2 linked regions of the Ovis aries genome follow. The main gene of each other region encodes a partner of the protein of the gene in region 2 in a complex. Links are inferred from orthologs where the notes say so. Each region holds a gene or a part of one and is shown on either strand. Other genes may lie near its edges. The genes, in order: PPP4C and PPP4R4.

Region 1 (3,143 bases), on a different chromosome or scaffold from region 2:
GACGTCCTCGTGTCTGCCAGCCCTGCTCCACCCTCGTCACCACCGCCCCAGTCCAGATTCCAGTCATCTCTGCCCGGATCGTGCCACACTCACCTCACGGGCACCCCGACCCACCTCCAGAGGATCCAAAGCCAAATCCTCTCACTCCCTCCCACCCCCCACTTCAACTACAAACCTAACCGTCCCTCCTTCATCCACCAGGTATGGACCAAGCCCTTAGCAAGACATTTAGAGCACCTTGTTATCTGGCCTCTTACGACCTCTCTCCTACCAATGGATACTGTATCCAGCTGAACTCCACTCGGGCCACTTTCTGAACAGGGTGAGCCTCTCTTCCTTCCCGCTATGATGCCGTCCCCACCTCGACCTCATCAGATGCCCCCAAGTCAAGGAAAGCTGCCTGACCACCCAAGCAGCAACGGTCTATCACCAGCAGCACAGCTCAAGACTTGGGGGCAGATGGGGCAGGAAATGAGGGCAGAAAGGATGCAGGCCAAATCAGACCAGGTCTTGGCTCCAGAAGCCAGCGGGTTCCCACCTTAAGTGCCAGCAGCAGGAGAAACGTTTCGACACTGTAGAAACCACGATCCACAAAGTCCCCCATGAAGAGGTAGTTAGTCTCAGGGACATCGCCACCCACCTGGGGAGGGAGGAAGAAGGTTCAGCTTGGTCCTAAACTCGCCCCAACCCACTGCACCGGCCCATTTCCAGTCAAGTCGAGGCCCTTCTTCCACAATGGGCCTACCTAACTAGAGGCCTCTGACCCCCAACCCCATCACCAAAGTCTCCACTCTCAACTAAAGGGGTCTTGCAGTCATCCCCTGGGTCACCTTTCCTGGCATTCCCCACACTCACTCTGAACAGCTCCTTGAGGTCATAGAATTGTCCATGGATGTCACCACATACCTGGAAGTGAGGAGGCAGGTCAGAACTCAGAGTCTGAAAGCCTTTCTGCCAGGGGCTGTCCTTCAAAAACACCCTACTGCTTTATTTTTTTTAAAAATTCTGGCCTCATTGCATGGCACATGGGATCTTAGTTCCCACCAGGGATTAAACCCACAAGCCCACAACTCCTGCAGTGGAAGCACAGAGTCTTAACTGCTGGACCACCAGGGAAGTCCTGGCTTCATTTATTTACGGGTAAGAAATGGATTTATTTAGAGAAACACACTCCACAGACAGAATGTGGGACCTCTCAGAGGGCAAGAGCCACCTGGAAGTCCCTGCTTTAGAAGATCCTTATCCATCTCGGCCAAGCCAAGAGAGAGTGTGTGTATGTGCTCAGCCATGCCCAACTCTGTGCAACCCCATGGACTGTAGCCCACCAGGCTCCTCTGTCTGTGGAATTTTCCAGCTAAGAATATGGAGCTGTTACCATTTCCTCTTCTAGGAGATCTTCCCTGGATTGAAAGCTTCTACTTCCCAGAGTCGAGAATCTCCTCTCCCACCCCAATCCCCCCATCCCACTCTGAGTGCCAACTATTCTGTGGGCAAGAGCTAGAGCAAATTCTTTCCAGCTAGACTTGCAGCTCCCAGAGAACCTGGCCTCCTCCTCTCCCTACTCCCCTCCAGACACCCAGAATAAAGTCACTAGTAACACACAGGAACACGTGGAGTTCACTCACTCACCAAATTAAGAGTCCTTCTGCCCAGGCCAAGAGCATCCCTCCAGTGACTCCAAAGACCATGCCCACAACCACCATTTCTTCTAGCAAGGCTCTCTTGAAGATGGGGCTCCCAGGGATGAGGGGTAGACCCTGGAGCCCACAAGACTAAGGAGGACGCCCACAGGCCTAACAGACCGAGCTAGGCTGTGGGGGGACAGCGGGAACTCACTGTGACTGGAGAGTCCACCCTCTGCACGTTGCTCTCCTCCACCAAGATCTCTCTGGAGACAGAAGACCAAAGTTACCAGAGCCGGGCCAGCCCAACCCAATTTCTGACCTTTTCTGCAGGGGAAGAGAGGATGAGGCGTGAACCTCCATAGGGCAGGTGGGAGGTGTACAATTCCCCCAGGCAAGGCTAATCACAGCCCCCAAGTTCGAGACCCTTCTGTGGTTCCCCACAGTTGACAGGCCAAAGCCCCAGCTCTTGTTCAGCATCCAAGGCCTTCCCAAGGAGTCTAGGACTTTCCTGACCTTGACCCTCCTGGCTGCTCCCTTTCACACATCTGGCAACGACTCCCAGAAGACAAGAGCTCCTCCTCCTGTCCACACAGTGCCTTGGCTGGGCTCTTACAGCCCCTCTCTCCCCACCCCAGGGGCCTTCTTCCCCTGGAATGTTCTTGGGCACAAGGGTGGTGCCCTGGGCAGGCCAGCCATCAGATCCACCTTCAAGGCGATATGCTGTTGCCACTCTTCTATCATTCAGAGGAAGCGAGGACTCTGTGCTCCCTCTTTCCTTGCAGTGTGATCTACTTCTACCTGAACGAGCTTGACATGTAAATCACTGCCCATTACGGACACCCAACGTTAAGTAGCGCTGTGCTTCCAGATTTCGTCCTTGACGATCAGAGGAGCCAAGGACGCAGCAGTTCGCACCACGTGCCAGGTCAGTCGTTAAAAAAGTTCTGCATGGATGATGCGGGCACTCAAACCACCACCCTCAAAGGCAGGTGCTATAATGATTCCCACGGCTCAGATGAAGAAAGCGGCTGTGGCCACACAGACAGGAACTGAACCAAGGCGGCCTACTCTGGGGTCTGGCTCTTATTAAGCGAGTCTGATGTGGGAGGCACCTGCTCAGCCATCACTCTCTCGGCCAGTCCCTTCCCACCAGACCAGGAGCTCCCTGGGCTCAGGGTGCACTGCATAACTAAGGCAGCTCCAGGGAGGTGTGCCCTGGTTTCCAGGAATGGGAAGAGCCACTGGCGGTGATACAAGGGGCCAGAGAGCAACCAGGCTCTCCCGCCTGTCCTGCATCTTGTACCAAACATCCTCACACCACTGCTTACAATACTTTTCCAACTGACTTGGGAGGTTCTTCCCATCCTCATCAGACAAAGAAACTGAGGTTTAGAGAGAAAAGGGGCAGGATCCAGGTCACAAAGCTGGAGGGTGGCTGGAACTGAGAACAGATCTCCTGAGACTTTACACCAGCCCTTTCCACAGACTCGGTCAAAACCTGCCTCCGTGCCAGCAAGG
Region 2 (3,911 bases):
AATGTCATGGGACTAGAAACATGATCTATAAAACAAGAAAAGAACAAGAAACTTTCCAGCACCTGAAACTGGCAAAGCAGACCTGAGCTAAGGAAACAAGGATAACAAATATTCCAAGGAGGTCAATAGTACCAGTTTTCAAAATCTGATTCCAAAAAACAAAAGTGAAAACTAAGTTGCCAAAAGGGTAAAAAGAAATGTGCAAGAAAAATGTTAAAACAATGTACACAAAATACTTTAGGAAAATTCCTATATCTGAAGTATTTTTACATATTCATTAAATGCTCACATTAGCTTTTAAACTTAAATCCACAGCACAATTTTTAAAATAGCTGAAAGAAATCTTGTAAATATTTGTCATAACCATTTGGCGTAAGCAATTCTGTAGAGCTTATGAGATGAACCTTAACTGAGAGTAGACTCAATTAAATTTTAAAATCTCTTAGGCAAAATTATAAAGCACACATAGCAAAAGCAATATAAACAGGTTATCCTGAGGAAAAAAATTGAACTACCATATTTGCGGATTTTTTTCTGCAAATACCATATAAAGTTCAAACTCTAAAATTAACTTAAAATTAATCATTGGATATTCTTTAAATTCATCTAAATTTACTGGCTCTTATGTGAACACAACCAAGGCTGCAAGATATTTTTTTTTAAGAGATTTAACTCAAATCATGAGTTGTTCTGTTCCTCCTCCAAGCAATATTCTATAAGCTAAGTACCTTACTTGATTTCAGTTCTGAAATTCATAAGCCCACATCTAAGTCTAATTTATGACATAATTAAGTACTGTGCATGCAAAGTACTCTGTTCAAGTGGTTAAGTAAATCTTAACATAACCGTAACATGACATTTCAGAAATCATTTGTGGATGCTGCCACAGGAAAAGAGAAGGAATTATCACAAAAAGACTTTACGAAATACCTGAGCAGATAAACAGCCCTTTCAATATCACTGAGGTCTTCATCAACTGTCAATCTTTCTATTTCTTCTGGTGTCTGTCAAGTGTAAAACACAAATTATGCACACAAGCATCAGCTCAAGTCTTGCCTCCAGGGACCCTCCACGAGTGCAGACTAATGAAAAACTTTCGCAATTAAGCATTATCCTTGAAAACTAATTAAGGGGTCTGCCACCCTCAAATCACAGATATCTCTAATGGTTGGGTTTAGGTGGTGGAGTTTGGGGGGGCTCTGGGGCTTTTTTTTCCCTTTTGTTTACTCTTCTAGCTTCTAGACTGAAGCCTGAGAAACACAATGTGACTTCAGAACCTTGCTGAAATCAATTGTATGTGCATATGTAAAATATGTACGTAGTTTTCATCTCTAATATCTAAGAGTGTTTTGCCAGCATTTCCATCCCAGGAAATGCTTAAAAGGGGTGGGGGGGGGGGATGAAGACTGCAGCCAGCGGAGGGAGAATGAGAAAGACGAAATCTGGATTGGGGGAGGGAATGGAATAAACTCTGGGGCTGGAAGGAAATCAAAGATATTGCGGCAGGTGGGAGCGAAAAGAGCTAAAGGTGCAATTGCGGGGGTCGGTGGTCGGTCAACTAGGTTTGGCAGCAGTAAGGGTTGGAGCCTCGGGAAGCAAGATGACTTTGCGGGGTGGGGGAGCTAGTGGCAGGTCGGGGCGGGGGGGGGTGCCTAGTGAAGGCTGAGGATTGGGGAGCAGGGTCTCTGCTAAGAGTCTTGGAGGGGCTGGAAGGAAGGGACACGTGGTGACTCAGGATCGGGACAAAGGGTCGAGAGGGCTTTGAAGACGGAGAGCAGGACGACTCCAGGATGGGTGTGGGTGGGTTGGGAGGTGAAGTGGGGGCCTTGGGCTTGCTCATATGAGGACGGAGGTGGGAGGGGGGGGCGGAGTGGGATCTGAGGTATCTCTGGAAAAGGCAGCGAGGAGAGTCGGGGCCGTGTTAACTGAAGACTGGGACTAGGTCCACAACCCCGGGCAGCAGCAGCACCAGGGAGCCGAAGCGGGGGGAGGGGGAGCCCCAAGGAGAGGACGCGGGAGGCAGCGGGCTGCGGCTGTGAGGGGCAGCTCCCGCAGGGCCCAGGAGGAGGGGGCCGCGGCGGAGGGGCCCCGGGCCGTGAGAGAGGGACGGCGCGGGAGAGGACGCCGAGCTGGCCCGAATCGAAGGGGCTCGGCGGGCCGTTCCTGAGGTGGCCGGGTTGGGGAAAGGGCCCGGGGCGGGCAGGGCCGGGACGGGCAACTGGAAAAGCCAGAGCGTCTGAGGGGTCGCGGGCTGGTCCCGGGCGCCCGTACCTCAGGGCTGGGGGTCCAGGCTGGGAGAAGCCGAGCCGCGTCGAAGAAGGGGGGCCCGAGAGGGGTCGGGTTAGGGTAACACGGCCCTCGGGGACTGAGGGGGGCGGGGGCGGGCAGCAGGACTCTGAGAGGGTCCCGGGCCGCCTCGTGAAGCGAACGGGCGGGGGTCGGGGCAGGGGCCAGCCGCCGGGCGCCCTGCGGGCAGTTCCTCCTCCCCGGGGCGCACCTTGAGGCTCCGGCGGACCGGCCTCTCGATGATGGTGAGCTCCTGCAGGTCCTCCATGTAGCCGAACAGGCTGTTCTGACTGAAATCCATCGCGGTGGCGGCGGGCGACGGCGGATGCATGGACCGCCGGGCCCCCTCGCTGCCCGGGCCGGAGCGGTCCCGGGATGCCGGACGCTCACAGCCCCGCGGCCGCCCACCAGCAACACTTTCTCCCGCTCTCCGCCGCCGGAGCCGGGCGGGAGGCTAGCGGGCGGCTAGCTGGCGGCGGGAGAAGGAGCGCGGTCGCCGAGGGGGCGGGGCGGCCAAGGCGAGGGGGCGGGGCGAAGCGCGCGGGCGGGCTGTGGGGGCGGGGCCGTGCCGGGGTAGGTGCCCGCCTCGGCCCCACCCCCTCCCGGGCACCCGCTGCCGGCGGGCCGGACGCAACTGCCGCTCCGCGTCCCCTCGCCGCCCTCCTCGCCCCTTCGCCCCGCCCCCGTCAGAGTGCGCGCCTGCTGTAGTGCATGCGCAGAGCCTCCTACCTACTGCAGCCGGTGGAGGTGCTGTGGGGTCTGTAGACCCCGGACGGAGATGAACCAATAAGTGAGGGAAACAAAGGGGAAGGTGGGTTGGGATCTTGGTTAACTTGCCGGAATTGTGGTGCGGTTATTCGTGGGACCGCCCACCCCAGCGCACGAGCTGGGTAACTCTGCTTTGTCCTTGGGGGAGGGTTGTGTACGAAAAATAAGCAAATAGAACTTGGGGTGTGCTAGGTTGTTGGGACGGGTGATCTGGGAATACAGTCCTGGAGGGGTTAACGTAGGGAGGGCAGCCGTCAGAAAAAGGACTCCTGAAGACACTTAAAACTGAATTTTAAAACAGGATTTTTCCAAGAGAAATTAGAGTAAGCGGATTCCGGGTTGAAGCCTGAGCGTCTATATGGTTGTAGAAAGTGCGAAGTAGAGCTTGGAGTGCAGGGAAACGGGTGCTTGACAAGGTAGAGAGGTAGGTCCTTAATGGAGAAGAGTCCAGGCAGCGACGTTGAGTTGCTTGCATTTTTATTCTGTTACGAGTGGGAAGCGATGGGAGAAGTTAGGGCAATTTGGGGGGACCTCAGAGACAAGAGTTTTGTTGATCATACTCTTCAGCGCCCGAGAGTCAGCAGGACCTCTTTTTTTTATTATTATTTTCCACTCATTCCCTCTCCACGGTCGTTTCTCTACCCGCCTCCTGTATGCATTCTCTCTTGTTTGATGTGTCCCAGTGCATGTATGTATCCTCGAAAGACAGTGCTTTTGGTTTAAGTATCTGTTTCGAATATACATGAATGCTGTTGTGATAAGAACTCATTCTGTACTTTTTTCCTTCAACATAATGTCTAAGAGAGCTATTGGTGGGGCTTATCATATCAGGAGTTCCTTAACTGTCCTTTAAAAGT

Evidence for each region.
Region 1: PPP4R4 (region 2) and PPP4C share a complex: the UniProt entries of both Homo sapiens proteins name them as parts of the PP4 complex. The link is inferred for Ovis aries from reciprocal best matches to the Homo sapiens genes PPP4R4 and PPP4C.

The regions. Positions count from the first base shown.
Region 1 is NC_056077.1:26,718,568-26,721,710, forward strand, and holds part of PPP4C (serine/threonine-protein phosphatase 4 catalytic subunit), read right to left. Parts: intron 1,889-3,143; coding exon 1,837-1,888; intron 1,795-1,836; exon of another isoform or gene 1,630-1,794; intron 907-1,629; coding exon 856-906; intron 641-855; coding exon 539-640; intron 1-538. UniProt on the Homo sapiens protein: Protein phosphatase that is involved in many processes such as microtubule organization at centrosomes, maturation of spliceosomal snRNPs, apoptosis, DNA repair, tumor necrosis factor (TNF)-alpha signaling, activation of c-Jun N-terminal kinase MAPK8, regulation of histone acetylation, DNA damage checkpoint signaling, NF-kappa-B activation and cell migration.
Region 2 is NC_056071.1:56,643,690-56,647,600, reverse strand, and holds the start of PPP4R4 (serine/threonine-protein phosphatase 4 regulatory subunit 4), read right to left. Parts: upstream 2,743-3,911; 5' UTR 2,618-2,742; coding exon 2,498-2,617; intron 1,005-2,497; coding exon 931-1,004; intron 1-930. UniProt on the Homo sapiens protein: Putative regulatory subunit of serine/threonine-protein phosphatase 4.